Linked DNA regions of Schizosaccharomyces pombe. The protein of the gene in region 1 interacts with the protein of each later gene in a biochemical or structural test. Each region holds a gene or a part of one and is shown on either strand. Other genes may lie near its edges. The genes, in order: cnp1, ani2, cbh1 and sim3.

Region 1 (7,958 bases):
GCAAGACTTGGAGCTATTCTTTCAACTAAATATATTATATTTGTCGCTATATGAACAAATGGCCCTTCTTTTCCAACCCATAAACCAGATGCAACACTGAAACAAACAGCTAAAGATTTGGAACAAAGGGTTTTTATAGAAAAAAAAACGTTCATATCAGGGTATTTATAGCCACTCAAAATTGCTTTAATTGTCGGAATGCCACTAGCTCTAGCAGCAGGAGCTACTACATAACCTAAAGTAGTTGCTATGAATGCAAACCCGACTGAAACACTAACGTATATCAAACAAGAAACAAAAACGGAATGATTGTTTCTCCAAAAAAAAAATTCCTGACATTCATAGTCCTCCGTTAGGGTTGAACAACAAGTCTGTTTGTCAAAAAGTATATTCACAGTACAATACCCTTCACGAAAACTGTTAAGTAATGATGCGAGAGCATTTAATAAAGCAGCTGTTAAGCCGATAAATATACCTTCCAAAAATGTCAGAAATCAGATAAAGAGAATACAGTAAATCAACAGTCAAATAAAATATCACGTACACTACCAACATGCAGATGCATTTAAATGGTTGGATTACGTACCTGAAATAATGGAAATAATTGAATATTTGGTTTCTAAACCTAGAAACCTGAAACGGCCTGCAAGACGATTAGCACTTTTCTGCTCTTCATATCTCTCGTGAATCCAATCAATGAGTTGGTCATCCTTCATTTTAAGATTTTGTACCAGTCAATAGTTGTCGTTAGTTAACAAATATATAAATTCACCTAATAGCTTAAAGGAATAAACGTAAGAGTTCTGCTTGTAACTGACGCATTTAATGCTTGTTAGAGAGGTTAAGGATTCCGGGCAAGTAACTAAATAGTCTTCCGCAGTTTACTCAACATGGAAGTAATTTAGTTTTATCCTTAATATGGGGATTTAAAAAACAAAAAAATGACTAGCACAAAACGTTAAGCGGCAAAAGGTAGGCAGTGAGTAGGTAGGGACTGTTGTGTCGTAGCGAGATGAAAGAATTGTGTGTATTGAAAGCTGCATTCCAATAAGCAAATACAATCAGTAACTTAAAATAATATGATCATAAATGATTAGTGACTATATTTATTACTATCTTTATTGTACATTAAACCCTTATAAAGGAAGTTTCTTATTAATATCTAGTGTTAATCCATACGTAAGATTATTGATATAAATCAGTTGTTGCATATACCTAATTAAACATAAACACTTTTTTTAATACTGTTCAAATAACTTTTTCGTGCATCCAGTTCCTCGCTGGTTGAATCTGTGCGAGACAATGCAATCCATTTTGGATTTTCATGAAACAAGCGCATTGCGTGTATATAGTCATCAGTGGTCGTAGTAAAACGATGATAAATTCCAGGAGGAAGTATTATTAAGTCGCCTTTCTCAACAAAAATTCGAACCCATCTATCATCGACAGAACGGACATCAAAGTAACCATTACCATCGAGAATTAATCGAATTTCCTCATCTTCGTGCAAATGTTCTTCAAAGAACTTCTTTACCATATTGTCATAACGATCTCCAAGTCCTTTTCTACTAACAACAACTTCATCCCGATTTTTAAATCCATATTCTTTCATAAGGCCATCGGCGAAGGTATGTAGATCTCCATCATGATGTCTATAGGACACTTTAGCAGCTTCTAAATCTTCAGCTGAAACTTCAATCTTTGAGTCATTCGGCTTTCTTTGATCGCCTTCGTCTTGGAAAATGTATGCTCTCATTGATGTTATTTTTATGTTGAGTCACGAGCAAATTAAAGAAAATTAAGACTTTTTTAAATTATTGAACGAAAAACTTTAGACTAAACAGAAGAGGTGTCAATTGGAAAGCAGGCAAAACACTACTCGAGTGAGAGTAAAGGTGAAAATAAAAAAAAAAAAAAAAATTCTTCTGTGCATGTAATGTAATACAGTATCTATTGCATTATGCCAAACAAATATTATTGGGGCAGTGTGACAATAGAATATTACATTAAAGAGTTTTAAACTTATGCAATAAGTGCGCAATTTTGTTCATCGATATTCCAACATCGTGAATTTTCTGCTAATTTAGAAGTTTCTGTTTTCTTCTTTTTTGTAACAGTAACCTTTGAGAAAAGCAATAATACAAAATCCCCTTATAACTTTTTAATGTATTAAGCAAGTTTCACGCTAATCAACCAGACCGCCTATTATCATTCCAAAGGACAAGGTTGTTTATTTTAGTCAAGTTTGTCTATTTATTAGCAGTAACACGTTTAGGTGAACATAGATGCTGTGCGCAGCACGAAAGTGTTTGAACAAAACATTTATTTCAGTAAGACTAAATGCATTTTCTTGTCTGGCAGAACTAAATTTTCGGCATACATGGTATTGCTCTAAAAAAGAAACACCTTATCAACTAGAAAGACTCCAAGAAGAAGATATTGAGGAAACATTTATATGTGGAAAGGGCCCTGGTGGACAAAAAATAAATAAAACTAGCATAGTGGCCCAAGTCAAACATATTCCGACGGGAATTATCGTTCGATCTCAAGACACACGTTCACGTGAACAAAATCGTTGTATTGCAAGGAAACGGTTAACGGAGAAAGTAGATGAATTCAAACACGGGAACGATAGTCTTTTAGCAAGAAAAGTTCAACGTATTGTCAAGAAGAAAAAACAGCGAGAGAAAAAAAGTAAAAGGAAGTATGGAAATAAGATTGATGACCAGGATTCCAGCCTGAATAATAATGAAGCGAAACAAGACGTGATCTAATTTGCGTTGCTTCGGTACTCACATGGCATTAACTAGGAGTGAGATTTATCATTCATTATGAGCATATTCGTACATTTTTTTTAATAATTCTTTGGTAGATAGCATGCTTAGAGTCTTATAATGAGTAGCTAAAGATCTGTCTCAAAATCACCTGATATCAATTAAACTGATCATACCTTAGCAATTCCAATTTCAATATGATTAAGCGTAAAACTATTTTTTTTTGTTGAATATATAGTGTCAAGCACCACGAATCCTCCTGGCTAATTGCATGTCTCGTTGCATAATCGTCACTCGTTTAGCATGAATAGCACATAAATTCGTATCTTCAAATAGATGAACCAAGAACGCTTCAGCCGCTTCCTGAAGACATTGCAGTGCCGTAGATTGCCAGCGCAAACCAACATCCGTTGAAAAATTGGCTACAAATTCTGAAGATATCTCTCGTACAATTCTTGAAAACGGGAGCCTTTGTATTAATAAGTCTGTAGACCTTTGATATTTTCGAATCTCTCTTAACGCCGTAGTACCTGGACGATATCTCTTTTTACGTGGCCGTGGAATAGGATCTCCAGGCTCAGCCATTAAAGATTTCTTTGCCATATTAAGTTGTTCCTATCAATTTCTTTTGGGAATAAAGGTTTTTAAACAGTAATTGTTGGAACAAATGCAAGAGCTCGATACAATGAGTTTTGGTTTTGACAGGGGTTTGACGCGTCGCGACTAGCATAGACTCTAAATTATTTAGCTCACTATTTAAAAATGTAAACAATCAAACAGAAGTTCTTTGTCAGAAAATACTAAAGCTACTGTTTTACAAGAAAATCATTAAAATACATGAAAATATTAGGCTCTTGTTCGTTCCACATCATCAGCTAAAAAGAACAAGTATTAATAATAGCTTACGAATATATGATTTCTCACTATTTATAGGTAAGAGAAATTAATCATATAAACCCAAGCGAAACTCAAGACCGATTTTTTTTTAATTGAATAAACATATGTGCTCTCTTTATATCTCGGTTATAATTGATCCAAAAGCCTTAAAAATTTATCGTACTCTTTTACAAAGAATTACATAACGCAGTTTACCGTGGAAAAACAAATTAAAAATTTGACCTATGGTAAAATCAGACTGCAACAAGCATTAACTATTTATTAATTAATTTAATGAAGGATTTTTATAAGAAACATAATTAAATTGTTAAGTTAAAAATAATTTTTTTGACTTTTGCATTCCATTATAAAAACGGAAAGTTGTTTGTTCTCTGTTTTGCAATTCCTTTAATAGCTCAAGTGTTTTAAACATAAACGGTCGAGATGAGTACAAAGTCAAAGGACCAACATGCAAGGGTATCATATTTATACCAGGCTTCGCAATTACTTTTTAGAAACGTTCAAGAACCTACATTGTCGAGACACTATATCTCTACAGCCAAGGATGTTTCACAAAAATCAGTAATGCGAATACACCCAGATATAAAGCGCACCATATGTAAAGGATGTAACTCTTTATTGGTACCAGGAAAGTCATGTTCAATAAGATTTGAGGAACCATCACGGAAAAATCCATCTATCGATCGTGTATTGTGGATATGCAAAAAATGTGCGTTTAAAAAAAGGTTTTCGGACAAAAGTTGTTAAAACATGTTTAGCATTACTTTTGGAATGAAAGATTATTTGTATTCTATAAAGCCGGAGCAACTTTTGTTTGGTATTTTGGTTCTTTAATTTCGCGAGATTGCGATTCAAGTAAAGAAAGATTCCCCATTTCCCGCTTACTCCTTTTTCTTTTGAAATTTTAAAGGGTTTTTGTTGTACATAGACCAAGCAGGAAGACACACCTATTTTTAAATGAATGTTAATATTACATGACTAGAAGCAAAAAAACTAGCTTACAAGAGCCACCAACGATGCTAAAATTAAAAACAATTTAATCACACAATAAGAATCTTGAACTAAATACCCATAAATGTACGAAATAACCTATAGATATATTAGTAAATAAATGAGATTTTATCCCTGACATACAGCACTTGTACATAGACCATAGTTCATATACTTTTGACACCTTAATTGTCCTGCAAAATCGATCGTACCTTCAAGATAGTTCATGGTATGCTTGCTCTTTCTCAAAACAGTAAAGTTGCTTTTTGTATTATGTGGTTACAACGAATGAATCTCGTTATCGTTCGGTTTACCATAATAACGTGTTGTAATCCAATAGCACGTTGTACATTGATGAATATGAAACAAAAAACAAGCAAAAAAAGAGGCATGAAAATATATAGGCAAATCGGTTGCTCCTTCATTTTCAATAGATGTAAATCAACACCTCAATGTCAAATTCGATTTGAAAATGAAAAAGCGGCTCATTGATGACCTATTAACATTATATAGAAATGATCTTTACAATTAACAGGTTAAGGTACTTCAGCGTTCATAAACGATTAATAATTAATAAAGATTCACCAACAAGGGCTTAATTTAAATGTATGTGACTTAAATCGTATATTAATTGCTTAGGTGGTTTTTTTTTTCATTTGGTGAAATTATCTTTTATTAGATGTGCGATTATCATAAATTTTGCTAGTACTTCATTGCTAAAAGAGGTCAAGTCTCCACTAACGGTATAAAACAAGCATTACACGTATACCTTAAGCAATTTGGGTCGTGCCAAAAGCAATTAGTAATGTGTAGCTGTTAAAGTTATTAGGTTCCATAAAATTAAGAGCTTATTGCTTCAAAGATTTGTCCTTTCCGATTTTAAAAGTTGAGGTCTTCTTAGGGATAATTGCTTCGGCTAATTTATAATAATTTCTAATAGATCACCTTCAGTATTGATAAATTGCCTACTTGAAAAGTCAATGTGCAAAGCGTTTCAGAAAGTAATCATCGATGTCAGCAAAGGTCGTTTTAAAGGATTTCTTATCTCAAGCGCCAATTGATAAGTTAAAAGCTACTTTAAGTGGTCATTTGCCTGTTAGTTGCATAACAATGGATGCTAAAATAACATCATTACAGCCTGGTTACCATTTTCTTTTTTTCTCTTTAGCATCTCCTGAATCAAATTTGAATTCAGATGGATATGAAAGTCTTTATTCCCCAAAGCCAAATAATCCTTTTTCTTTTAAGCGCCGAATATGGTTACATGGAGTCCTTCGTTTTCATAGACCTTTACATCTTTTCCAAACTTCGGAATGTCATGAATTGATTCAGGAAGAATCTGTGAAATCTCCATCAATTACAAAAGAAGTTGAAGCTTGTCTTCCAAAAAGTTCTTTTCTAACAAAGCCTACTTCAGAAAAACAGACAAAGCATGTATATATTCGAAGAAAAATTTACGACAGTCAGCATCAATTATGTATCGAGGAAGATAGAACATTAGCCTATTTAAATCGACAAGAACTGGCTATACCAAAAACTTTACGTAGCAAAAGTATTCCACAACACTCTTGGGTATTCACACCTACACCTATTATGGTGTTTCGCTATTCAGCATTAATGTTTAATGCTCATATGATCCATTGGAATGCGACATACGCTACAAAGTCCGAAAATTATCCAAATCTCGTTCTTCCAGGTCCTCTTCTAGTGACTAGTATGTTAGAGTACTTTCGTTCTGTTTATCCCCAAATGTCAAAGAACATGAAAAGATTTGAGTTTCGATTATTATCTCCCGCGTTTGTCAATCAACCACTACGCATATGTATCTCAGAGACAGGTAACCTATGGATTGATCGATTTACTACAGACCTTGATCCACCGTCTTTGATTGCTAGAGGCCGCGTCTATACCTAACATAACTGAAAAACAATAATAATTAATACCGGCAGAAAAAATATTTCTAAATTACAAATACTACTTACTAATATTAAAATTTAAGTATGTAAAACTAAATCAAATTACATGATAGGTATTCAATTTAAGGTGAAAACACACAAAATTTTTTATTAACATTTAACAGTAACTTGGTAAGAAAAAAAAAACAATATTAACCAATCCCAATAAAAATGAAAACAAAATATAAAAACACTTATGACCGTCCAAAATAAAAAAGGAAACCGTTAGACGGAGAAGGGGTTTGAAATTACACATGAAGCTTGAGGATACGATGAAATGAAGAGGCAAAATTAAGATGATAAATGTACATGAAAGGAGACAAAGGAAAAAGCACTTTCAAAAGGGCTGTGAAATAATAACGGTACCAATTTTTTTCTTGAAAATAATTAGCAAAATGCAACTTTTTTTAAAATTCATAAACAAGGAATCAATGAAGAAGCGTAAGAGGTGAAAAATGACAATAGATAATGCAATAACCTTTTTTTAATATTTGTGGCAGAAGAGACTCCTTTCAATTTATCTACCGTGTTTCACACGGAGATGCCTAACCAAGGCATCATGTCTACTGAAATGGCGTTGATCGCCACAAATCTCACATCGAAATACAGGTCGTGTCTTAGCATGTATCGTATCCTGGTGACGGATCAAATCATACGTCCTAGAAAACACTGTGTTACAAATTTCTCCTGTAACTCTGTTCTGAAGAGTACACCGAACTGGACCAATTTGTTTACCAAATTTAAACTTCCTACGCTTCCTCTGAGCACCCGTAGCAGTAGTAGAAGAATTTGTAGGAGTGGTGTCAACAGGAGCAGATCCGTTGGGGCCATCAGCAGCAGCACCGGTGATGCTTACTTTTTGGTTGGTTGGATTAGGTACCACGGAATGAGAAGACCTAGTATTGTAATACGACTTAACGTCATTTAGGTCATGAGTAGCAGCCGATTGAGAGTGAGGAGCGTTGGAACTGTCTAACTCTGAAGTCGGTAATAAGTTAGGTATATTAGCAGAGGTTTTAACAGGAGAAGTGAGTGGAGGAGAGGAGCTGATCGTAGTATTTGAAGGTACGACAACAGGAGGCTGTGAAGGAGAAAGTGAATGTGGATTTACCGACGTACCAAGCACCAAGGAGGGGCGATGCTTGGCATTGTATGATCGCGTTATCGGAGGAGACAAAGAAGGGATGCGTTGTTTAATAGATTCTTTATTGAAGCTGTCCTGCCGAACATCGGAGTGCATGTTATCATTGACCATAGATACATCCTTCCCATCATATATCTGAGCGGAGTTTTCTTGAGGAAGAAGAGAGTCAGCAGCAGCTCCCAGAGCATGAGAACGGCG
Region 2 (7,575 bases), on another chromosome or scaffold:
CGTTTGTCTTCTATCAAAGACTGAAACATTTCTTCGTTTCTTTCTTCATTCTGTTTAATAATTGCCTCACTTTCCAATTTCCTATCTTGGCTTAACAAAACTTTTTCCTCTAAATCTTTTCGTTGTGCATCTAAAAGGGTATACGTTTCCAGAAGGCTTTCTCGCTTCTGTATATCATCATCAAATTGCTGTAACCTCTCTTCTCTGAGTTTTGCAAAATTAATAACTGCTGATAAAATTAGTTGTAGTCGATTTCTGTCTGGTTTCAATAGGTCTTGAATCGTAAAGTCATGAAAACAGATGTTTTGCATGAATTGACTTAAAATCTGATAAAAAACAGTAAATCTTAAAGACTCATGTATTATCTCGAAATTCTCGACAGAATCTTGTAACGAATTAACCTTCTCTTCTAAATTCTGGCGGGTCAACCCCATAAACAAGTCAAGAAATTCTTCATACAGAGGGATGACGGCTTTCGAGGTTGGTTGGTCAAGCTCTTTAGCCGTGAATGGAATTCCAAGACCATCTATGCATTCTAAAATCTCAGCACGCTTCAAAGAAGGAAATGTGTGTTTTCGTGCCATGGTAAAGTTGATGGTTAACTGAACAACTGGATTTTACGTATTTAATCTGCTTTGATTGTGAATTTAATTATAAATATAATAAAATAAAATTTAAATTTTTTATTTAGTTGCATGTTCTAGATATTCAATTTTTCATTCTTTTTAAAAAATCAAGAACAAAGCTGAATTTCGTATAAGTTTTTCTTCTGTCATACATAGTAAATTAACAACTCCGTTTTATATATCTTTTTTAAAAAGTGAACGATTTGATTTAAAATAGTTCTATATAGTTTATATAATTTTACAATCGATGGTTTATCTCAAACGTTGCATGTAAGCAAGAAACAATATAAGGAGCATATAAAAGCTGAAACTAGATAAGAAGATAAAAAAATTAACATTTATGCCTGATGACCCAACTTTACTAAAAGCCTGAAAGGGCTAATGATAGATGAAACCAAAGTTTTAGGTTGACTTGGCTGCAACAGCTTCCTTAACCTTAGCATCAAACTTTGCAACAGCAGATTCAACGGCTGACAAACCTTCGTCTAAGTCGGCTTCTGGAATAGTTAAAGGAGGAAGGAAGCGGAAAACTGAAGGATTATTGAGTGAACAGTAGACTTGGACGTGATATGTATCGGCAAGGTCATTGACAATAGGAGTTGCATAGTATTCGCCGAATTCTTCTTGAACTGACTCAGGAATGGGATAAAATTCAATACCAACTATCATTCCTCGACCACGAACATCCTTCATAACATGAGGGAATTTTGTTTGAAGTTTATTAAGACGATCAAACATGATACCACCTAACTTGCGGCATCTAGAAAGAAGGTCGTTTTGCACGATATAATCGATGGTAGCAACACCGGCGGCAAGTCCAAGAGTGTTTTCTTGATAAGTGGCAGTGTGCAGAAAAGCCGTTTCAAGGGAATTGTAAGCAGCATTCCAAAGCTCCTCTGTAGCGATATACCCTGCAAATGGAATGAGTCCGCCTGAAAATCCTTTGGCGAAAGCGATACAATCCGGAATGATGTTTTCGTATTCACAGGCCCAGAATTTACCGGTACGACCACAACCGGTTTGAATTTCGTCTAAAACGAGATATGTATCGTACTTAGTGCAAAGTTCACGAGCCTTTGCAAGATAACCTGGAGGAGGGACAATAACACCACCTTCGCCTTGAATAGGCTCAACAATGAATGAACGGTACATACCAGAGGATAAGGCAACTTGAAGTGCTTCCGCATCACCGTAAGGGACGTAGTCAACGTCGAAAGGAGCAGGACTTTGATATTTTTGCCATTTTTCTTTGCCGCCTAAAAAGACGGCACCAGTGGTTTTACCATGGAAAGAGTTCAAAGTAGAAAGAAACTTTTTCTTGTTAGGCTTATAACGGGTAGCAAGGCGAATCAATTTAATAACTCCCTCATTAGCTTCAGCACCACCGGTTGCAGTCCATGTGCGAGTAAGTTTTTGACCAGGAGATAGCAAAGCCATATTGCGACCAAAGGCAGCTGCAAGGTTACGATAGGAAATGGCACCCATCATATATAACTTGGCATCAAAGCATTTCTGTAAGCAATCCCAAACATACTGATTGTTGTTACCGACCGTTACGACTCCAACGCCTCCAATTAAGTCCAGATGCTCAGTACCCTTTTCATCAACAAAACGAGAATTATCAGCTTTCACAAAATTGCGAGCGTGGCCATGGACAGTGCGTAACTTGTTTAAGTGGTCGAGTTGTAACTTGACAGTCGTTTCTGGGTCCATTTTCATGGCTTCGTCGAAGCACCACAAACCCTCAGGATAATTGCTGGCTGTTCCATTTTCGGAGGAGGCATCGGTTTTTGAACCATTTGTGTTAAGTTCAACCGTCTTTGAGGTAGCAGTAGCAGTGGACGTGGAATCAATCATGATAAGTGCGTAAATTTAACGTAAATAAACGAGCAGGAAAGATAGTTCTTAACTCAAAGCTTCTTAAATGTAATTTCCAAATGAATCTTTACAGTATATGGTTACCTTGTATAATCCACTCCTTAGATTGAAGAAAAGGTCGAATGAATGTTAACCTTTTACAATTGTTGGCATTCACAGGCAGCTTTAGCCTATATATATAGTAAAAATCATCAATGCCATATTCCTATGTACTTGACCGAAAAATGGCTATTACCTCTCTCACATCCCCCGATCAAAGTCGTACTGCCCAGATAGCAATTAGCGTACTACAGCCTTCGAGTTGGCCGACGGGCAGAACCGAGAAGAAGATATACTCTAATATTTGATCATTACAGAATTGGTCTCAATTATAAGAATTCAAGAAAAAATATCATGCAATGAAGTGTATTTAGTTCAAAAAAGCTTTGGCGCTAATAATAATGTTGGAGCAGAAACAAATGATTGCGCAGAACTATTTTACATAGGATAAAGTAAGCAAAAAAAAAATAATAATAATAATAATTAATTAAAAAGATTAGATTGAATCAAACTATGTGATTTAATTTATTGAAATAAAACTGGTGTTGATTGTGGATATCTATGTAATAAAGGTTACATGTTTTTTTTTTAATAATTTTTATTTATTTATGAATTAATTGGAAAATGTTTAAAAAAGGGCATTCAGCTGTGTCTGGATATTTAATTTTAAATATAAAATAAATATAGATATATTAAAACGATAAAAATGAAAATAATATTTGTCACTTGTCGTATACAGTCTTTAGGATAATAAATTGTAAAGCAAAAATAAATAAATAAATTATAAATTATAAAGGTCACAATAAGATATAAATGACAGCTTTCTGTCTGAATCAGTTTATCTAATAAATTCAAAATTAATAAAATGTATTAAATCATCTCATATTCATATAACGATCAGTTCTTTTGACCGTCGCGATAATACCGCCGAGCCTTAAATTTCCTAGAGATAGAAATTGAAATTTCATTCCTGCTATAATCTGTAACTCTCTACACACTGCGCATCTCGTAGATCTTGATATACTTTGAGATCCCCGTATTCGGCTCAGCTTTGTAATCTAAAGATACCGCGGAGTGAATGTTGGCCGAACTTGGTGTAGCCGAAAATGAAAGAGGAAATAAAGATGTGTCGCAAAGCCAACACAGTGATCTATCGTATTTGTTGGTATTGAATAGTCCGATCCAGTTTACAATGTTGATGCAAAAAGCCCAGGAAATGCAGTAAATACATAACTTGGAAAGTGATTATAAAATCGGAGAAAGAATTCATAGTGACTTATAAAAATAAAGACGTTCGGTATAGAACAAAGCATCTATTGATTCACTGTGATGTAAGGAACGTGTTTAAATGAATAATAAAAAAGCAGTTAACGATATAGCCAAATACAAAAGTTGAATCAAATAAGCTAATATTATATTTTTCGCACTTCTCGGTAAATGATATCGCCTCTGTCAATTTAAAGTAAAGTAAACTTAGACGAATTGAAAGCCAATAAGGAACCAGACACTTTGGTGCCTTTCCAGTTTGAGATTTGTACGGTATAAACGAATTGATGAGTTCCATCAGCGTGGATTTCAATAAAGCATACGCAGTAAACCATGGGTAGATCGATCCAGTTAATTGCATCCTACTATGTATAATTTCTTTTTTTATTCTAAATCAACTTGCAGTAGATAAAATACATGAGAGATATCGCGAAAACCAATTATGAAATCTCAATTAAAAAATTGAGGGAATAAGAGTATTTAGTAGCCTTCTTCATATAATAAATTCACAAATACAAAATTTTCTAGTGGCTCCACCAAATATCCGTAGATAACTAGTAGCGATTGTGCTTTCCCTCACTCATGTTTCAAGACAACGACTAATAAAAAAAGTGTTTTATTTATTCTGATGCCCATTATTGCTCACACATCTAATTCTATCATCAGTTTAAAAGAGTGCTCAAGATCCTCACCTTACTGCGACCAATTAGTTGTCTCAGTAACATACATATTTCTACTAGAGTGCTTACTTTACCTCAAAATAATTCGAATAATATTCAAAAAATTTGCTATTCCGTAATTTCCAGACCCAACTAAACCATAATTTTTTTATGAACCAAACTACACAAAATTAATTAACCGCTAAAAGCTTTACGTCAAAAACCAAATCTGAATTGGCTGGGATACCTGGAAGACGTTTAGAGCCATAGGCCATGGCAGCTGGAATATGAATTGTACGTTCTCCACCTACTTGCATACCCACGATACCAACGTCCCACCCTTTTATCACTTCCTCGAGTCCAAGATTAAAAGTAAAGGGCTTTCCGGTAATGTTTTTGTCAAATACCTTTCCGTTAGTAAGACGACCTATGTAACGCATAGAAACGCGCTTTTTGCGCTTCGCAGCTGGTCCGTCACCTTTAACTTTATCTTGAACCGTAACGTTTCCTTCAAGTACTTGCTTAGGATAAGTTTTTGTAGACTTAGATTTCTTCTCAGTTTGTTCTCCTTCACCGGCGGGTTCGGTCTTTCTCTTTTTGCCGTTCACAGAATCTGATACGTCGACAGCAGTTTTCTTTTCTTTCTCTTCCTTTTTAAGCTTATCCTTGGAATGCTTTTCAGCAACTTCATCCTTTGGAACAGGCTTTTCTAAAATCTCTTCTTCTGCTTGCTCGGCATCCTCTTCGTCACTGTTCAACTCCTCTATACGAGCACCATTTTCTTCCTCTTCTTCTTCGCTTGATGTAACGGAAATATCATCCATTTCTTCTTCATCGCTGCTAAATTCATCTGCTCCATAAAGAAAGTCATTCTCGAGGTCACTACTATCCTCCTCCTCCGGAATGTTTGTAATTATGCATGTTCCGCTCAAATAAACCGGAATATCACCACCAACTCGTTCAAAGAAAACTTCTTCTCCAGGAGAGAAAATAATGTCAATTGGTTGCTGGTAAACCGAGCCCTTTTTAAGGGTGCATAGGGTAAATTTTTCTTCTTGAAAAAGTTCTTCGTCACTTTCTTCTCCATCTTCTTCGGGGTGCTCAAGCCTAGTGATCACGTTTACTGTAACGGCATCATTTGATTTAGCTCTAGGATCCAAAGCTGCCATCGTAAAACGAACAGATAATTCGCTACGAAAGCCTTTATAAAAGTCTTCATCGAAAAGAGGAACACGCTCCTGATCCACTTTAACACTGTAAAGGGTCTCTTCCTTACTCATTTTGTTTATTTAGAATAAATAAAATCCAAAAAGATACGCAATAGACGATGGGAATCACAGAAATTCACCACTGGTATATCAGAGTAGAGTAAGTGTTGATGAAAAAATTGTACCAGTAGCAAACCTTTATGACGCCTTAAGTAATGTTATCTCGCCTATTCATAAGCTTATTATTACCGAACCAAAACGGAAGCGTTAGAAGCGTTTTTCAGTTTGATGCATTCTCAATAGAAAATTTTAAAAGGTACAAATAATTAGCAGTAGGGGTTAATCTTCATGTACTTTCGTTCTTTACTACCAATACTCAAATAGCAAGTCGCCGTCATCTTCATTCGTGATCTTAGTAGTCAAAGAGAAAAAGCCTGGTTATTTGTGAAAATTTTCTTTAAAGTTCAAGAACGGAACATAATTATTTTAGCATTAATTTAACGGAGAAACTACTATTTATTCGAATATCTAATTTTACTTAACAATTTTTTTTAATCGGAATGTGTATACCGAACTAGTCCACCAAGTCATTAAAGATATTAACGAGTGTATACACACTACGTTGTGCATATTGTTGGTTTTTGGGCTGGCAAACCTAACCTGAACGTATTACCGCTCTTTAAACGCATAGCCTCTTGAAGGTTATCTGTAAACAGCGTTTTTCAAGGTTGTAATAAATTCATTTATTACCTATTCTAAAACAGTGTTGAGCTTTCCAAGTTTCACTGGTTGCGGGTTTCAGAAATGTTAGTTCTCAAGCTATTGTTGTGGTCCATCATATCTGGGCTCAGTTTAGCTGAGCAGGTATGGAGAAATAGTAACGCGATTCGTACGATTGATTTACGCTCCACTTATACCAAAACTCTCACTTCTTTAATTATTGTAAATGAAGGAGATGAGCCTCAAAATACATATCGCTACTTTCAGCAGACCTCACCTGGCGAAAGTGTCTTGTCTCTCTCCGTATCGATAAAAGAGGAAGAAAAGAAAGGAACTAACCCTATAAAAGTTAACAACAATGTTTATGATATTCCTTTACAACCTCCTGTCAAACCTGGTGAATCTCGTACTTTATTAATACAGGCAGGTTTGGACGGTGGTGTTCGTCCTTTACCAGCAGCTGTGGATCAAGACGAAGAACAATATTTGGTTTACCTGACAACCCTTTACTTAGATAGTCCCTACACTACTGATCTTCAACGCACTCGTCTTATACTCCCTTCTGCTAAAATTGACACATATACTACGTATAATATTGATGGAGCTGAACTTCCCAATCGTGTTGGCAATACTTTGGTTTACGAAAGCCGTGAGACTATCACCGGGGAGGACAATGATTTAGGTGAAATCTATGTTCGCTATGAGCATACTGTACCTATTCCTCGCGGAGCTGATCTCTATGTTCAAATTGATATGCATGAATACCGAAAAATGTTAGAAGTCTCGGAGCGTGTGGTTTTTGAAAACCATGCTGCCAAGCTGAAGTCCAACTTCGATCGTGCCAAGTGGTATATGGGAAACTTTTACAATCCAGTTTCTACTGCTATTAATCGAGTCGTCTATAGTCTTCCTAGAAATTCCAAGGATGTCTACTATACCGATGAGGTGGGAAACATTACCACATCTCATATGCGAGTTGAGCCTCACCAGACATGGATCGAGTTAAATCCTCGCTATCCTGTATTTGGGGGATGGAACTATTTGTTCCAATTGGATTGGAAAATGCCTTACGAGGAGTTCCGCTCTTCCAAGAATAGAAGGGAATATCTTGATATTCCTCTGGCATGGTCACCTGGTGACATGATTTATGAGAAAGCCGTTTGGTCTTATGTTTTTCCC
Region 3 (8,402 bases), on another chromosome or scaffold:
AACCTAGTCTAGTCTAGTAGCAAAAAGCAAAGCAACTTCTAGCGCCATCTGCATAGTGCGCTTTCGCTTCTTAAATTTTCTTCCTTCTCTTATTTCCCAAAGAATGCGATGCGCTGAGAAAATGGGAGCACCTTGGGCTAATCTAGTCAAAATGGGTCATTTTCGCAGGAAACCCCATGTTCTTTCGCTCTCCGAAAATCCCAAACTCGCTTTTCATTTGCTTTGCTCAACTTGTTGGTTTTGTTAGCTTCGACCCACTGGTAACTGTTAGTATTCTCTGCTTTATGGCGAATTCCCTTCTCACACGTTCCTGCCCCATCAACACGAGAAGTTCGGCCCTGGGCCCTTTGAATTTTCCCTACCAAAACATCTCTTATCATGGTACGTTACGTGCGGCATTTAACGTGGATAAATGAATGGAAAGCATAAACGTAGATAAGCCATTACGTTGAATAACCAAGCATAAACGTTGATACACAAACAAAAGTGGGATTTCATACATATGCATAACAAAAGAAACTTTAATCTTCTGATAGCGTTTGTTTAGTTTGGTTTGTTGACCCGCACGTCCACTACGGCCGCGAGGAGTTGGGCTCTTTTCGTACGACCTCAAAATAAGGTTTATTACGTCAATGTGCCGTAATTACTTTAATGCATGCGAAGCGAATCATGGCCAAGCGATGAGAGTAAAAAAATGGGAAACAGAGTTTATCGAGCGGTTGGTTAAACCATTATTCTGTATTTAGGAATTGGTAATAGTAGCAAACGCTTGTGTAAACAGATATACCCGAGACACTAAAATTCGCCACCTACGCTGACATCTTAGACATTAGCTACGCCAGTTTCCGCCCAGTACTTTGAAAGTCGCAAAGTGGGGGATTTCGATCCTTATGGGGGTAGGGTGAGCGTTAAGACTAGGAAAGGGTGGGATGGAGGGGACTGGTGAAGACTTGGACTGGGGTTCACGTGTGTGGGAGATTTTGGTCTATGTGGGGGATTGACTGGATTGGTAGTTGTAAAACAAAAACACAACGGTTGTAATGTAGTAGTAGTAGTAGCAGTATAATGTGTTTCAAAGTTGGTCTTGATTGATGAATGTGAGTCGATTTTATGCCAACGTGTCTTTTTTTTTTGTTTTCACTTAACGAACCAGAGTTCCATTTGTTACTAAAGAAAAATAAAATATAAAAAAATAAAATAAAATTCTATTTCTTGAGTGTTTGTCCCTACTACTCTTTATTACATTTCTTTGATATTCCCATCGCTTGCATCCTAATTAGCAACCTCTTTAGCATCATAAATATAATACTACTACTTTCTATGAGCCAGTATTTTGGTCGACCTATTGCTGCTACTGCAAAAGTATCCTTTCTGCGTCTTTTTAAAATTTTCAACATGCGAAGCTTTCTCTTGACACTGTTGTGTTAAGGTTCGTTAAGCGGTTCGCACTTTGACCACCTTCGGACATTTGTCTTCGTTTATAGTCCATGTGATTAGTGCATAACCTGCTATGGTATAAAGCATGCAACAAAGGAAAATGAAAGAAAGTATTGAATATGCGAAATGCGACGCTGATTAAGGAAGACTAGAATGAATTAAAAAATTTTTCTTGATATTGCTTTAGAAAATCTTTTTCGTTTCCATTTGTTGTTCTTTTTTTTGCATACATTTTTTTTTTCGGTGGCATTCATTTTATTCTTTTCGGTTTGTTTACCTAATCAAATTTTACTATTTGGAAGTGCTTCATCCACATTTTCAAGAGCTAATAAAATTTTTTTTTTTGCTTTCTTATTTCCCTTTTTTTATTTTTATTTTATTTCAATTATTAACTCTTCTCTTTTTTCCCTCTATCTGTTTCTTCTAACTAATCATCTTTGCTCTACATTCAAATCACTCAGTAATTTGTTCGCAAACATCGCAACTAAATTTGGAAATGAAATTCAAACTATTTTACTCATGGTCGCAGTGCCAATTTCCATTGTGCAACTTGTCAAGATAGCGAAGATCACTGAAATTTGTAAATTCAAACACATAAAACGCAAAACCGTGAGAACTATACACTCTTCCAATGTTTTAATTTTTTTGTTTCTCCAATTTACTTTTTTAATAACCCATATTATTACTCATCACATTATTGTATTGTTGTTTTAAGCATGCCATTTTTTCGTACTGGAGCGCGTTAAAGATCTGATAAGCAAAACTTTCAAGATTTAAGAAGATATGTATATATACTTTAAGATCACCATAGCTAGTGTGGATCATTCTAGTGTGTATTTTAAAAATGGCATATTCCATTTTGTTTACTCTACTTTCAAATTTTTTTTTTTTTAAAGTGGGTCATCACTACAGAAATTATTCAATGAAATATATCTTCTGTTTTGTAGCTCAATGAAAACTCATAATTATATAAACATATTTCCTTAAATTCCACACTCCAGTTGCCTCATATCCATAATGTGATTTTTTTATGTCTTGTTTTGGTAAAATCTCTGATTGTGTGTGGCTTTTTTACCTAGCTATTAAAATTAATGGTTCGGTTTTCAGATTCGGACTTAAAGTCATATCAAAACCCCTACCCATTTTTCTAGCATTTCCAATAGTGGTTTACCAGCGCAACAACTCAAACAGCATCTCACTCACAAAACCATATGATCATTCATCATCTATAGCATTTAAATTAAATTAAATTAAATTAAATTATTAAAGCATCATTGCTTAATGCTTTATTTTTCATTTGCGCGCTAACTGATTTTTATTTATTAATTGTTCTCACTGCTTCTCTATATCTCTGTCTTGCATACAACAAAGGAAAACACAATGTGACACAGTTTATACAAAAAAAATCATTAATAATTCATAATATCATTAGAATCCTATAAAATGTTTTGTTGTTCAGGTATATGTACACACACTAAGTGAATTTAAAAGAATATTAAACGAGAAGGGTTCAAAGCCGCCCGCCATAGTTAACCAAAAGTAAGCAGAAACATTAATCTCAATTAAAAAAAGTAATTTTGTACGAGTGTCGACTTTTGTTTCACTATATTTTTTTTTTGGAAATTTGTTTGCTTTGGAGATTGAAATCATCCAACGTGAAGCACTTATTGGGTTTAGTAAGACTCGCTCTCAATTTATTTCCGTAAGTGGATCACGCTATTAAATTATTAGGGGCAATCACTCTTTGTCTGCGGTACAAATCTAAAACAAACGAGGGATCCCCATTTTCGTGTTGCTCAAAATATTTTATTAAGACTTCAAAGGCCATGGCAGCCTCCACGTTTGATATTTGAGGCTCCACGTCTTCTTCCTCATCCGACTCAAAGCGTCTCTCCTCCAGAAACTCTGCAGCAACGGTATCCACAGCATCTTGATGTAATTTGGTTTCATCTTCTTCAGAAGGTCTAATGTATTCATTAATTTGCTTAACAGCTTCGCTGCCCTTGCTTGAAATCAGATTACCAATTTCCATAATGGCCTTTTGATACGACTCCATTCCTTGTCCTTCGGCCTCGGAATGTGGACCCAATAATCCTGATCGGAGAAAAGATGCTTGAATAGTCTTTTCACTCACCCCAAAATTCCAAGACCAAAGCATCCACCGAATGGCTTTTAAAACATTAACGGCTTTTAGAGGATCTCTCAATATGTTGATTTGATTAAGGGAGTATTGCAACCAGTATCTTCGATAATTCGCTTTAAATGTATCGACTATTCCTTGTTCAAACGGAGACTTAATGTCCAATGTTTTTTCTGGAATTCGAAATACAGAGGTGTTCTGAAAACCACCTTTAAACCGTCGAACACTTTCAACACCGAACTGATATGTGTCATTGCTCTCTAACATCAATAGGACCTTGCGTCCTTGCATACGTGTGTCAAACCACCGAAGCCATTCCTCCATAATAATTGGTGAAATTGAAGCTCGGCCATTCCACTTCCATTCGAAGTTCATACTTTTAGGGAAAATACCGCACTGCTCAAAAGATCTTGGGTTTTGTGCATAACCCACGATCCATAAAGGTAGTCGTTCTGACCCATCGGCATTGCAACACATAATTAAAGACACTTTGGCTTTTCCACGCTTCATTCCCTGGATTTCCTGATAATCCAAGTTTTGTTTATTAGGAGTGAGTTTCCAAAAAAGGCTTGTCCCTCCAACGCAAAATATATCTTTTTGGGCATAAGGCCGTATAAACTCTTGAATATGAACTGGGTATTCTCTAAACACCTCAAATTTGATGGATTCCAATGCCTGATTTACCGCACTTTGCTGGATATAATGTCTTCTTCTAAATTTATCCAACCAACCATTGCTAAAGTCTGGTAATGGGAGAGAAGCATACGCCGGAATTTTCGACCAAAATCGAGTAGCAGCTTGTTTGATCATATCCCCTGATATAGGAAGGCCTTCAACTTCTCTTTGTTGCAACCATTCGTACACGGCATTGTCAAGCAAAGGAAACTTTGGAGCTCGAATTTTTTTAATATCACCGAGTCTTACACTTCCATCATCTAAATAACTGTATTTGGGTGAAAGAATTTCGGAAATCGTTGACTGCGATAAATCTTTATTGTACGTTTTTCGAAACCATTCTGTCACTTCCTTTTGAGGAATTCTATGGGCAGATTGGTTATAATAATCTCGAATTGCCTTTTTCTCTGCTAAAGAGACGGCCTGGCGTATAGGAGGCATTGATTTTCCTTAATACTTACTATGCCGATACTTTTCCAGACCGATATAAGAGTATAGCCTTGGATTTATACAATTATTTTATGTTGTAGTAGATATCGGAAATAACGGTGAAAAGACGAATTCTATCCTTGTAGGGTTTAAGAAGGTGAGTACTACTAGTGCATCCTTCTGCCTTGCACCCTATATAATCTAAGTGCAATATACCGAACCTATTGTTAATCTGTAATAACAATGCCATTGGAGATGCTCAAATTATGACGTTCAGGTTAATATAGCAAATTTGCGTATCTTAACGATTTTGTCAGTAAGAAAAAGAGAATTCAAGAGCAAAAAATAGGAGAAAGAACGACATGAACGCTGTTAGAAACCGTTTAAAATCAATTCTCATATATGTTTTAAATGAGAGTCTAATTGAATACTTCCTCAAATTTCATTTCTGTAGCACACCTCTTCTCACTATTAAACAAAAATGTGTAAATAAATAAATGTTCCTTGGTATTGTAACAAAAATGGCGATTCTGAAGTTCATGAGCATTTTCCCTTCTCTTTCATTTAATAAATTCTCGAATTTTCAAATAACATAATATGTAAGTTCTCAGTTTTGGTGTAATTACTTTTAATTCCAATATTTCCATTCATAGTTCAATTCATAATACTTACTATCAAGTCTATTTCAATAATGTATGTTACACGTGTGATCCAATGTTTAAAAATGTAGAAGTAAATTTATAAAAGCAAAGCCAAAAATAAAGAACAAAGCTGTTTAAGCTAGTTACGGTACGAAGAGTAGGTGTTACTTACGTTTGATTCATTATTATTAACAGTAGAACTAATTAGTAAGCATCGTCTCAAAGAACCATTAGGAAATTCTTACAGCATACGGTACCGTTATCATATAAATAGCAAGCTTTGCATACCTAGCAGCTTAGTTTTTCCAATATTATTCGCTTAAAATTGAGAATACACATTTGATATTTACAGAGTTAAGCATTTTTAAATTAAAGTTGTGAAAAGATGCCTATCGTTAGCGGATTTAAAGTCGGACCTATTGGCTTTGGTCTTATGGGTTTAACCTGGAAGCCCAAGCAAACTCCAGATGAAGAAGCCTTTGAAGTAATGAATTATGCCTTATCCCAAGGCTCCAATTATTGGGATGCGGGTGAATTTTATGGTGTCGACCCTCCCACCTCTAATTTAGATTTATTAGCTAGATATTTTGAAAAATATCCCGAAAACGCTAATAAGGTGTTTTTATCTGTCAAAGGTGGTTTGGATTTTAAAACACTAGTTCCTGATGGAAATCCGGACTTCGTGTCAAAGAGTGTTGAAAATGTGATAGCTCATTTACGTGGGACCAAAAAGCTAGATCTCTTCCAATGTGCTCGAGTCGACCCAAATGTTCCCATTGAGACAACCATGAAGACATTGAAGGGGTTTGTGGACTCTGGAAAGATTTCATGTGTCGGCCTTAGCGAAGTTTCTGCTGAAACTATCAAACGTGCTCACGCTGTGGTCCCCATTGCTGCAGTCGAAGTCGAATACTCCTTGTTTTCTCGTGATATCGAGACAAACGGTATTATGGATATTTGTAGGAAGTTATCTATCCCTATTATTGCATACTCTCCTTTCTGTCGTGGCCTTTTGACTGGTCGCATTAAGACTGTCGAAGACCTTAAAGAATTTGCTAAATCTTTCCCATTCTTAGAATATTTGGACAGATTTAGCCCTGATGTTTTTGCTAAAAATCTTCCATTCCTCCAAGCTGTCGAGCAACTTGCTAAAAAGTTTGGTATGACTATGCCCGAGTTTTCACTTCTTTTTATAATGGCGTCTGGAAACGGTCTGGTCATTCCTATTCCTGGCTCCACATCTGTTTCTCGTACAAAGAGCAATCTCAATGCACTGAATAAATCTTTGTCTCCTGAACAATTTAAAGAGGCCAAAGAGGTCTTGAGTAAATACCCAATCTACGGGTTACGTTATAATGAACAGCTTGCGGGCACTCTTTCCGTTTAAAGTGCTGAAGTTAGTCGATACTCTTTCGCATTTCAGTTTTGAAATGCATATTAAATATAAACTTATTATATGCTAGCCTTACTTAGGTATTCAGTAATGACAATTTATTTACAGCGAAAATGTTAAATCATTTGTTTATAGAGTTTGGCTTGTTATTACCGATTTCTGCTCGATCTCGTTTAAATGTTTCTAGTATGCTCTAAAAAAAAAAGAAAAAAAGAAAATGATGGGTGCTCACGATCAGTTTAAAGCTGCTCTACAAATGGAATGTATTGAAAGTCAGCAAAAAATATTCAAAGACTAATATGACTTTCCTTGCACATTTTCCAAAACGCCCGTCGTTGAGTATATAGTGACTTGGGGGATCCGAATTCCACCGTTTTACCAGAATCCAATACTAAGACTTTATCATAATCTACAATTGTTTTAATTCGATGGGCAATGCACAAAACGGTAGCATGTTTAAATGCTGCACGAAGCATTTGCTGAATTCTTCGATCAGTAGTATCATCTACCGACGCTGTGCTCTCATCCAAAATAACAATACGAGATTTTCGGACTAACGCCCGTGCAAGGGCTAGAATTTGCCTTTGGCCGGAAGAAAAATTGACACCTCCTGAATCAACCGGTGTGTCAAGATGTATCGCAAAAGCGTCAAGAGAATTTTTGTTTGAAGCTTGCACTAAAGATTCACAGGAAGCAGTCTTAAGTATTTCATTTAGTTCTCCGTCTCCATACTCCTCAAAAGGATCAAGATTGCTTCGGACCGTACCGGATATTAGCACAGGATCCTGTGGAATTAAACTAATACGTTGACGAAGGACTTCCAAATCTAGAGAGTTGATATCAATGCCATCTACTTCAACCGCACCTGACATGATCATCGTAAAGCGAAGTAAAGTTAAACCCATTGTACTTTTACCACTTCCTGTTCGCCCAACAATAGCAATTTTCTCTTTGGGAAGTATTTCCAAGTTGATGTCTTCCAAAACCGCCGCTTGGCCAATTGAATAAGAGACTGTAAGATTTTTGATGCTGACATGCCCCAAAGTAGGCCATTCTTTATTCATAGGTTTCGTCAAACAAGAACTTTCGTTCTTTTCACTTGGTAAAAGCATATATTCATATAATCGGCGAAAGTTGTTTATGTATGTCAAAATTTCGTTGTTAGCCCTAACAAAAACGAGTACAGAGATGTTAAAACCAATGGCACTATTTAAAGAGAATCCGACGAGTCCAGGTGGTATGTTTTGTCTTAACAAAGCAATAAGACCAGTTGAAAACCCTACTAGGCCACTTATCCCATCCGTACGTATTGCCAGCCATCTGTTAATAGCAAATGATATATACAATGGTTGAATCATATCGTCAATAAAAGCCATATTTTCATGTTCAAAAATCTTCTCCTTTTTAAAAGCACGGATAACTGTAATCCCTCCTAAAGTCTCTCCCAGCATAGTGAAAACAGGTGAGGTTCTCGAGGATTGTAGGCTGGTAAGCTGTTTTTGTGCCTTTGAGTACGCATATCCATGAAGATAAACCAATAAGCTAACAAAAGCAGCCGGCACCATAAATATTGGCATCACCAAAGTAACGTTTAGCATAGTTATTAATATAGCCATTACACACAACAACATGCCTTCCAAAGAGGCCCATAACAGATTATCCGTGGCGTACATATCTTTAGAAAATC
Region 4 (8,057 bases), 2.8 Mb from region 1:
TTGATAATGGAACCAATGATTATGACACTTCGTACGTTTACCATAAACCAAATCCACACTGTTAACATGGCTATAGAGATAAACAGAGAGTGCCTTCATGGACAGATCGAATCTTGGCCACAAAAAGTGTAAGTTGTAGATATATTTCAATGTAGTGTACCTCTAACCGAAACTTTAGTTTACTAGGAATTGCTATAAATCTTGTGACATTAGATGTTCCGATCATCGTCCTGTATTCGCTACTTTCAGCCTTAAAATATTCAGTACTTGTATGGACAAGAAAGCCGGAATCATAAGAGACGCAAGGATTGCTTATATTAAAAGCAAAAATAGTAATAAATAGTCGTTAACGATTATTTATGATCTACGCCTCCCTTTGCTGAAATTTCGTATTTCCAACTATTTAAAGTGCACATTTAATCTATCTATTTATTTTTAATTTTTGTTTTAAAATAATATATTTTTTTGATGTTTCCTTCGTATTATTAACATATTAAAGAGAGAAAAGCATTCAAACTATATAACCAAAAAACAGGCATAACTTAAAAAAAGGGGTAATAAAAGCAAAAATATGATCGTAAACCCAATCTAAATAAAATCTACAACTAAATCATGAAAAGCCTCGTGAATTGAATAAATTTGGTATTCACAAGGAAGTAATAAATGAACCTGGATTGAATAAATTCTCGCTGACTCTTTCCAAGCACACCTAAGACAAAGTGTAACCGAAGAAAATATTTAATGAAGTTCCATGAAAAATAATAATGGGGGAGGAAGAAATAATATGTTCACAGTTTAACCATGACATGTGATGAGGGGCATATATTTTTATCAATTCAGCTCAATAACAAATTTATCAAAACAACCGAGAAAATTTGCCAGTGTTCTTACTTTGAGATGCAAATAAAGGATGAATCAAAGCTTAAGGATAAACAGATATAGTCTCGTTCACAGCTCCATGCCGAAAAGAGCATGATCGCTACAATTGAGATGTGGGAGAGGCTCAAAACCCACCCAATGTAAGCTTTTTACTAAATAAGGGAGAGAACTGTTATTTTTATCAACGAATAATACCAGCTTCGAGCAGTGAAGCCGATCCACGGCTAAGTCTATGATGGCAACTAATCCTTCTTTCAAATGAACGTCTTCCCAACTTTCAGGTATTAAAAATAGAGTCTTCGATCCATCCTCTTCAGTCCGAACTATCCCATGCCAATAGTTCATGGATTCTGCAACACCGATCCTTTCATCACAATCATATTTTCCTCTATGTCTTGAATTGCCTTCCTCTTCATTTACCGTCTGTTCCTTCAGTATGCCGGAGGGCTTAGGCAAACACGTTCGAAAACTGTCACTAATCCAACGTGGAACATGGCGACGCCTCTGCTGCTTAAAGGCAGCACGAGGTCTTGAGCGCTCAAGCGCCTCAGGAGCACCATTCCGCGCCCCCTGCCGGCGTAGAGCCATAAACAAACATTTGATCCTTCGTGGTACATAAAGCTAACGTGTTGCGTCGGCGTCCATGTGTATGATTTTGCCCTCGTGGGTTTGGTGCAAAGTGAGAATTTAAAATATCGGCGTCAGCATCATCCACATTTGACAATTGGTACATTCGATTCCTAAACGCCATATTCTAAGATATTTCTTACTTAAACTTTGGCGTATGATGCTTGGATTTGGGGATTGATTTAAAAAAAACCAATAATGAAAACTTGTTTTGTTGTATGTTCTTGCAGACTCCGTAAGTAGGTATGTGAATAAATTGCTTAGATAGTAGAACAAGTTAGAGTGCACAAAATATATATACGGTAAATGTGATTACAATTCCTATAGGTGAACAGCGCTACAATACGTTATAAATCACTATTTGGATTCTTTATCTAGAGCCGTTTCTACGGATATAGATAAATAGTTATCTAAGAAAGGTCGTTTTTCCAATCTGAATCCTTAAAAATTAAATTTTAAAGGAATTTACGCCCCTTAAGCTGATTGTGAGATGCCCAAACACTGGCATGATTAAACCATTAAAAAAAATACTACACATTGTTTATTATTATATTCCTGTCTATATCAATATTGTACTTCACAATTAAATTGCCCGTTTAAAGTATCCTTAAGACATTTACAGAGTATGTACCTTGTATGGTATAGTGTTTAGCAGACGGCTTAGATAGCGCTATTTGATATCCATCTTTTATCAAATAGAACAAAAATAATTTTTTTTAGGAGTAAAGGAGTTGGCATTTTAAATTTATGTTTTTTTACTTAAGTTTCCATATTAAATACGTTGAAGACTATAACTACAAGCAATCAAAGTAGCTGTTTAAACATGCTCTTTAAGAACTTTATATAATTATAACGCCATTTTAATTTAGTACTATCAACTGCTTTGATTATCTTATTTTTCAACCTATATAGAAACGTTGCCTTATAAATACCTGCTTAATGCAATATTTCGATTTTACGTGTTTGACACGTACATGAGTAAAAACATATATTTCTTTTCCTTAATTTTTTAAACTGTAGGATCGTAAATTGCAATATCATGTCTCGAACCCGTATGCTTAATGAAAAAGATGCGGAATGGATCTTTCATATATATTTTAGGAAATGACCCTTCATAAGATTCAAATTTGCAAGATAGAAAGAATAGCACATATACATATTTCATTGCGATTATACTAAACAATTCCTTTGTAATAAAGCAATTAAATTTTAGCAATTAAAAAGCTCTTTTGACATATACTCCTAGGAAGCCATTGTGTATGTAAATGAAGAACAGAAATGCTAAACGATTGAGAGCTCTTGCTAACTTCAACTAATTGTGATCAATTAATCCTTCTTTTTCTTATCTTTAGGACCTTCTTTTTGAGAGGAGCTAGTAACTTCTTGCTTCGTACGTTTCCGTTTTACTAATCCACCTAAATCATTGGCATTTTTCACAGCTTCAGCAACAGCTTGAGCGAGACTGCTGCTATCCTTAGATAATAAGGATGACTCATGCATCTTTGACATAACAGCTTCTTCCAAACTTGGCGCGCCATGCTTTAAATCAAGCGTCTTTTGTTCAAGTTCCGATAGCATTTCGCGCAAATTCTCAAGATCGCTAGTTAACGTGCTTTCCTCAGCCTTTTGCTTTCCTTTCCCTTTCTTATCCGTAACTTCATTTTCCCGCTCATTTAAGACATTTTTTAAGATTTCTGCAGCCTTTTCCACATGTTCACAAGCGCGGGACTTGTTAGAGGGATCTTCTGGATTGGTAAACTCAAGTGCTAGTGCAAGCTTATAGTGGGCTTCACTTAAAAGTGTATTATTTGAAACGTTGTAAACCTTTTCTTTCCACTCAAGGGCCGTTTTTAAATCCTGAGAAGCCTGAGAAAAGTTTTCAATTTCGAGAGAAAGTTCTCCCAATAAATCGTAAATATCCGCCAGTCTTATCTTTTCATCCTTACTGTCAGGATAAGCATCTACTGCTTTTGACTGCATGACTCTTGTTAGATCTAGCACCTCCCAAGCAACGTTAAAATCGTCTTCATCTTCTTCAGAAGCTGGAGATGCTTCGTTTGTTTCTTTTTCTTCACTTTCCTTCTCTGGATGTGCTATTGATGAATTTTCTTCATTGACGGTATATTTATTTTCAATTTTTTGACCAGAAAATGTGAACGAGCCAATAGCTTCTGGTTCTTCAAAACTTTCGGTTGCTTGAGACACAGACTCCTTGGCACCCAACGCATTTCCCAGGACTTGACTATTTTCAATAGCTATTTGAAACAGAGATTTTCCATACAGCCAAAGAACATTTCTATTCTCCAAACTTTCAGAACCATGAATGGACTCTGACTGCATGAGCGCTTGACCATACTTATCAACGGCTTCCTCATAATTTTTTTGAGCATAAGCCATATTACCTTGAGTGACTAGTTGCTCAATTGCTCGCGAATCCGAAGAAGAAGGGTTTTTGGTATCAGCATCTGTAGCACTATTGCCTTTGCTATTTTCCAGTGTTTTCGTATCAGAAGACATTTTTCGCGTAACTTTTAAAAATTATGAAGTTCAAGACTTCAAGTAATAGGTACGACAATTAGATATTACGCTAGGTCTACCAAAGTGACCCAACAGACTGAATAGTGAAAAAGAAAAAACGACTCGATAATTCACTTTTTTAGATTAGAAATATTAATAAAAATATATTCTGGCTTTTTCTCCTAATAGATAATGAGTTAAAACCACTCTGTTTTGTTCTTAATAAGTAGAGGTGAGCCTTTGCAGATGTATGAATCTATTAGCATTGGCAAGTAATGGGAGTAAGATGAAGCGTATATAGGCGAGCGTTTGATGGCATAACAAGAGCAACAAATTGAACTTATTTGTTTTCCTTTGTTAATAACTCTATTTTAACGATGTATAGGATTCGTTCTGACAGCTTCATTTTTATTCCAGCAAAGCGAAGCAAAACGGATCATTCGCTTCGTGCCAAAACAATGTTGTTTTATGGATTAAAAGATGATCTTCTTAAAGCAGCCATGGCTAAGCATTCATAATACGTGATAGATCATGTTATAGACTTCATCTTTGTAGATCATATAAATGCTTAAGTGTTGAGTCAATGACACATAGACTGTACTTGTCTATTTAATTTGTCTAACGTATTACATTCATAAAAAGCGCGTAAACGTGTTGAGTCTTATAGAAGTTGTTATGACTAGCAATTCAAGAACAAGTCTGATTCATAACATTATTTAACATTTCTTTATTCCATTTCATTTTATTCTTTCTCTATGTTAAAATTCTTGACTTTGCAATATAAACAGACAAATATGCACCAAGTAGCTTGTACAAATAGCTCCTAAACGATCTTTGAATGCATGAAGATAATATTCTATATACCAAGGATTTGAATACTTCACGATCTTACTGTATGAATATATAAACAATAAATAGAAAATTTCTAGTGAATCGACAGTACTCTGACTGATTATTAATTTTTTCTTTAAAATGTTTAAATATTCTACTTTAAACGTCTACGGCCATACCTAGGCGAAAACACCAGTTCCCGTCCGATCACTGCAGTTAAGCGTCTGAGGGCCTCGTTAGTACTATGGTTGGAGACAACATGGGAATCCGGGGTGCTGTAGGCTTCCTTTTATTCTTTTTGCTTTTTGTTTGAGCTCATTTGGGAATAATAATCATTTACCTTGATTCGTACTTATTCATTTCAATACCTTTGCACATAATATTATTGTGTACTATGAATGATATTTTGGCAACCAGGAAATCTTCTTACAAGTCGTAATACGACTTAAAGGGAAGATGTATGGTTTATTTTATTGTCATACAGTAACCTTTATTATTGGATTGGAGTTGTAGTTTCGATTTCATCACAATGAATAACGATACTCTAGAGTGTTTTCCAAGATGTAAACGAGAGAAGGAAAGTGTTTTTTGGATGATTATTAAACTTACTATAATTTTTGATTGTTCTCAATATAAAATTTATCTTAGTACATATTTATTTTGTTCTCATGTCAGTTTTGGAGAACATACATTACAATTTCTTGACAAGACAACATTTGGAAAATTGCTCTGTTCATTAAAACATTGAAAACCGTATATGTTTTTTAAATCATTCCTCTTCAATGCATTTGTTGAAGTAATTTTACTGAATCAAAGATATAAATACATGTTTGAAAACAAATACCCGAAACTGCTAAAAAAAAGACTGGGATTGAAAGTTAGACTAGATTCGTTGATCATCTACTTGAAAAATGTGTTTTGTTAGAAATATATAGGAACAGGAAAATCTTAGACTGTATTTCAGGAAAATTTAAACTTAGTAGGTATTAAAATGCTTATAATTCATCGTATTATATTAGGTAACTAGGATGTCAATACGAAAAATAACAATAAAATCAGAGATTCATTATTGACAGGAAATACTTTTTTACGTTTCTTAATCAACGTTTATACTTTTCTCTTTTTTGTTTTGAAAAGCGACTAGTCACAATTGTCAAAATTACATTGTTCACTTTTACTGGCAGCAACTTAAGTAAAGAAGAGATAGAACTCATAGATATAAACATTGTTAAATGAGACCTAGCTGTGTATCTTTTACTACTCTGCGCATATAAACCCAACATTCCCAAGCAATAAGACCATGCACGGCCAAAATCCTTCTATCAACTGTTCATGGCTTAAAACGAATTTCCTTTAACTAAAAAGTGAGATAAATAATTAAAGTATTAAACCTTGCTCCTTTTATTAAAAAAACCTCATATATAAGAAACTCCATACACCTACTGTTTTCCTCCCTATTGTTTTGTTCTTCCACCAAATAAGGGCAACTGCCTTGGCAACTGCACAGACCGAGTAAATCTTCACAATTTCGTTGATATTCGGTTAAAATTTGTAAATATACTAGTGTATTGGATTGTATCTAAGGTTTTCTCGAAACATTTGTTCGTGTTCAAATTCCGCGCTGTTCTAATAGATCACAAGATCTCGAGCTGGTGCGTTTTCGTTTGGATGGAACCCACAGACACGGCTTTGCTTCTAATAGCTTAAGTTTTTTTTTTTTGAAAATAGTTTTCATTTGATAAGAAAAGAATAAGACTTCAAGTCCGGTAAGTCTATGAGTGGTGCCTAAGATCCTTCGTCGTTAAACATTTGAAGTTATTGCCTTCTAAAACGTTTCATCTACTTTTTACAGCAAATTTTGAAACTGTTTTTTGCATCTTAACCAAAAGTATTTTATTTTGGCGATAAATTCAAAGAGTATCTGTTATTTGCTAAATTTGTTGTGTCCATCAAGGCTATCAAATTACTGCTTCATTTTGTAAAAACAATTTTTCTTCTCGTATTTTAAGATTTTCCACTATGGAATCTCAGTCAAAAAAGTCGTCCGCCTTAAAAACTCTCTCCAGCTTATGGAATGGATCCTCTAGCGCCACTTCGGATCCAGTTACTGTTTTGGATCGAAGCCGGACCCATCACCATCGTGGTCGAAGCACTTCTTCCAAAGCTCAACCGTTCAGATTGGACGACTCTGTTTACTCAGATCAACCCCCAAAAGATCATATCTCTTTGGCCCGGTCCATAACTAGACCCGAATCTGCTAGTGAGTCTAAAATCTATGCACCTTCTGCGAGATCTTCTCTTTCCTTGGAAGCTGTTGTAGGCAAAAAAGTGTCTGCAAAGTTTGCCAAATATTTGTCACAGACAGATGACGATTGGGGAGTTTCGAATATTAAAGCCTCAAAATCTCTTCCTCGTATGGCTCGAAGTACTACTCCAAATTCTTCAAGCCGCTCCTTATTTCCTCAAAATGGCGTGGATACTACCACTTCTAGACAAAAGCTTCATTCGTCTGGTCGTTTTCCTTTACCCGCTAAACTAGCCCATCGTTCTGTAGAAGTTGAGGTTGCTGAAAGCAATGCGCTTGTCTCTCGGATCAAGAAGTTTTCGCGAATTCTTGATGCTCCAATTGTGGATTTAAATGCGCTTCGTACATTGGCTTGGAATGGAATTCCCTCCGAACATAGACCTATTGTCTGGAAATACTTGTTAGGATATTTACCTTGTAATGCTTCTCGTCGTGAAGTCACTTTAAAGCGAAAGAGAGACGAATATAACGCAGCAAAAGATTCCTGCTTTAATACAAATACAGAGCCACCACCTTTGGATCAAACTATTTGGCGACAAATTGTCCTTGACGTTCCGAGGACGAACCCCTCTATTCTTCTTTACCAAAACCCATTGACGCAGCGTATGCTTGAGCGTATTTTATATGTTTGGGCCTCACGGCACCCAGCCAGCGGATATGTACAAGGCATCAGCGATTTAGTTACTCCTTTTATTCAGGTGTTTTTGTCCGAATATATCGGCGATAAGGACCCAATGACATATGACATTGCTCTTCTTGATGAAACTAATCGTAATGATATTGAGGCTGATGCTTACTGGTGTCTTTCTAAATTGTTAGATGGTATCCAAGATAACTATATACATGCACAGCCTGGAATCCGTCGACAGGTGAATAATCTGCGAGAGCTTACTTTACG

The links.
Region 2: the proteins of cnp1 (region 1) and ani2 interact in a test that uses a peptide from one of them, tested with the Schizosaccharomyces pombe proteins (one study listed by BioGRID).
Region 3: the proteins of cnp1 (region 1) and cbh1 interact in a test that uses a peptide from one of them, tested with the Schizosaccharomyces pombe proteins (one study listed by BioGRID).
Region 4: the proteins of cnp1 (region 1) and sim3 form a complex in vitro, tested with the Schizosaccharomyces pombe proteins (2 studies listed by BioGRID, with this or other methods).

Annotation. Positions count from the first base shown.
Region 1 is NC_003423.3:3,534,020-3,541,977, reverse strand, and holds cnp1 (centromere-specific histone H3 CENP-A), read right to left. Parts: upstream 3,475-7,958; 5' UTR 3,378-3,474; coding exon 3,015-3,377; 3' UTR 2,775-3,014; coding exon of another isoform or gene 2,286-2,774; 3' UTR 1,815-2,285; downstream 1-1,814. Other genes in the region: SPOM_SPBC887.02 (ClC chloride channel), read right to left, coding at 1-475, 587-716; adi1 (acireductone dioxygenase family protein), read right to left, coding at 1,220-1,756; pth3 (peptide release factor), read left to right, coding at 2,286-2,774; RNase P subunit Rpr2, read left to right, coding at 4,095-4,418; signal peptidase complex subunit Spc1, read right to left, coding at 4,553-4,618, 4,674-4,760, 4,806-4,889; 3-hydroxyacyl-ACP dehydratase Htd2, read left to right, coding at 5,673-6,575; DNA-binding transcription factor Rsv2, read right to left, coding at 7,134-7,958. UniProt on the Schizosaccharomyces pombe protein: Histone H3-like nucleosomal protein that is specifically found in centromeric nucleosomes. Replaces conventional H3 in the nucleosome core of centromeric chromatin that serves as an assembly site for the inner kinetochore.
Region 2 is NC_003424.3:4,322,624-4,330,198, forward strand, and holds ani2 (FKBP-type peptidyl-prolyl cis-trans isomerase), read right to left. Parts: upstream 5,846-7,575; 5' UTR 5,749-5,845; coding exon 4,660-5,748; 3' UTR 4,524-4,659; downstream 1-4,523. Other genes in the region: protein Nuf2, read right to left, coding at 1-584; SPOM_SPAC27F1.05C (aminotransferase), read right to left, coding at 1,029-2,483; SPOM_SPAC27F1.10 (uncharacterized protein), read right to left, coding at 3,865-4,170; dolichyl-diphosphooligosaccharide--protein glycosyltransferase Ost1, read left to right, coding at 6,481-7,575.
Region 3 is NC_003424.3:4,456,077-4,464,478, forward strand, and holds cbh1 (CENP-B protein 1), read right to left. Parts: upstream 4,803-8,402; 5' UTR 4,694-4,802; coding exon 3,149-4,693; 3' UTR 2,844-3,148; downstream 1-2,843. Other genes in the region: pyridoxal reductase Plr1, read left to right, coding at 5,708-6,709; abc1 (ABC transmembrane transporter Abc1/Ybt1), read right to left, coding at 7,003-8,402. UniProt on the Schizosaccharomyces pombe protein: Binds to centromeric K-type repeat DNA and ARS3002 DNA. The CBH-binding consensus sequence is Py-Pu-A-T-A-T-Py-Pu-T-A.
Region 4 is NC_003423.3:778,240-786,296, forward strand, and holds sim3 (CENP-A chaperone, NASP family, Sim3), read right to left. Parts: upstream 4,245-8,057; 5' UTR 4,024-4,244; coding exon 2,833-4,023; 3' UTR 2,360-2,832; downstream 1-2,359. Other genes in the region: syj2 (inositol-1,4,5-trisphosphate 5-phosphatase 2), read left to right, coding at 1-31, 77-128, 179-343; GTPase-activating protein Gyp1, read left to right, coding at 6,874-8,057. UniProt on the Schizosaccharomyces pombe protein: Histone H3 and H3-like CENP-A-specific chaperone. Promotes delivery and incorporation of CENP-A in centromeric chromatin, probably by escorting nascent CENP-A to CENP-A chromatin assembly factors.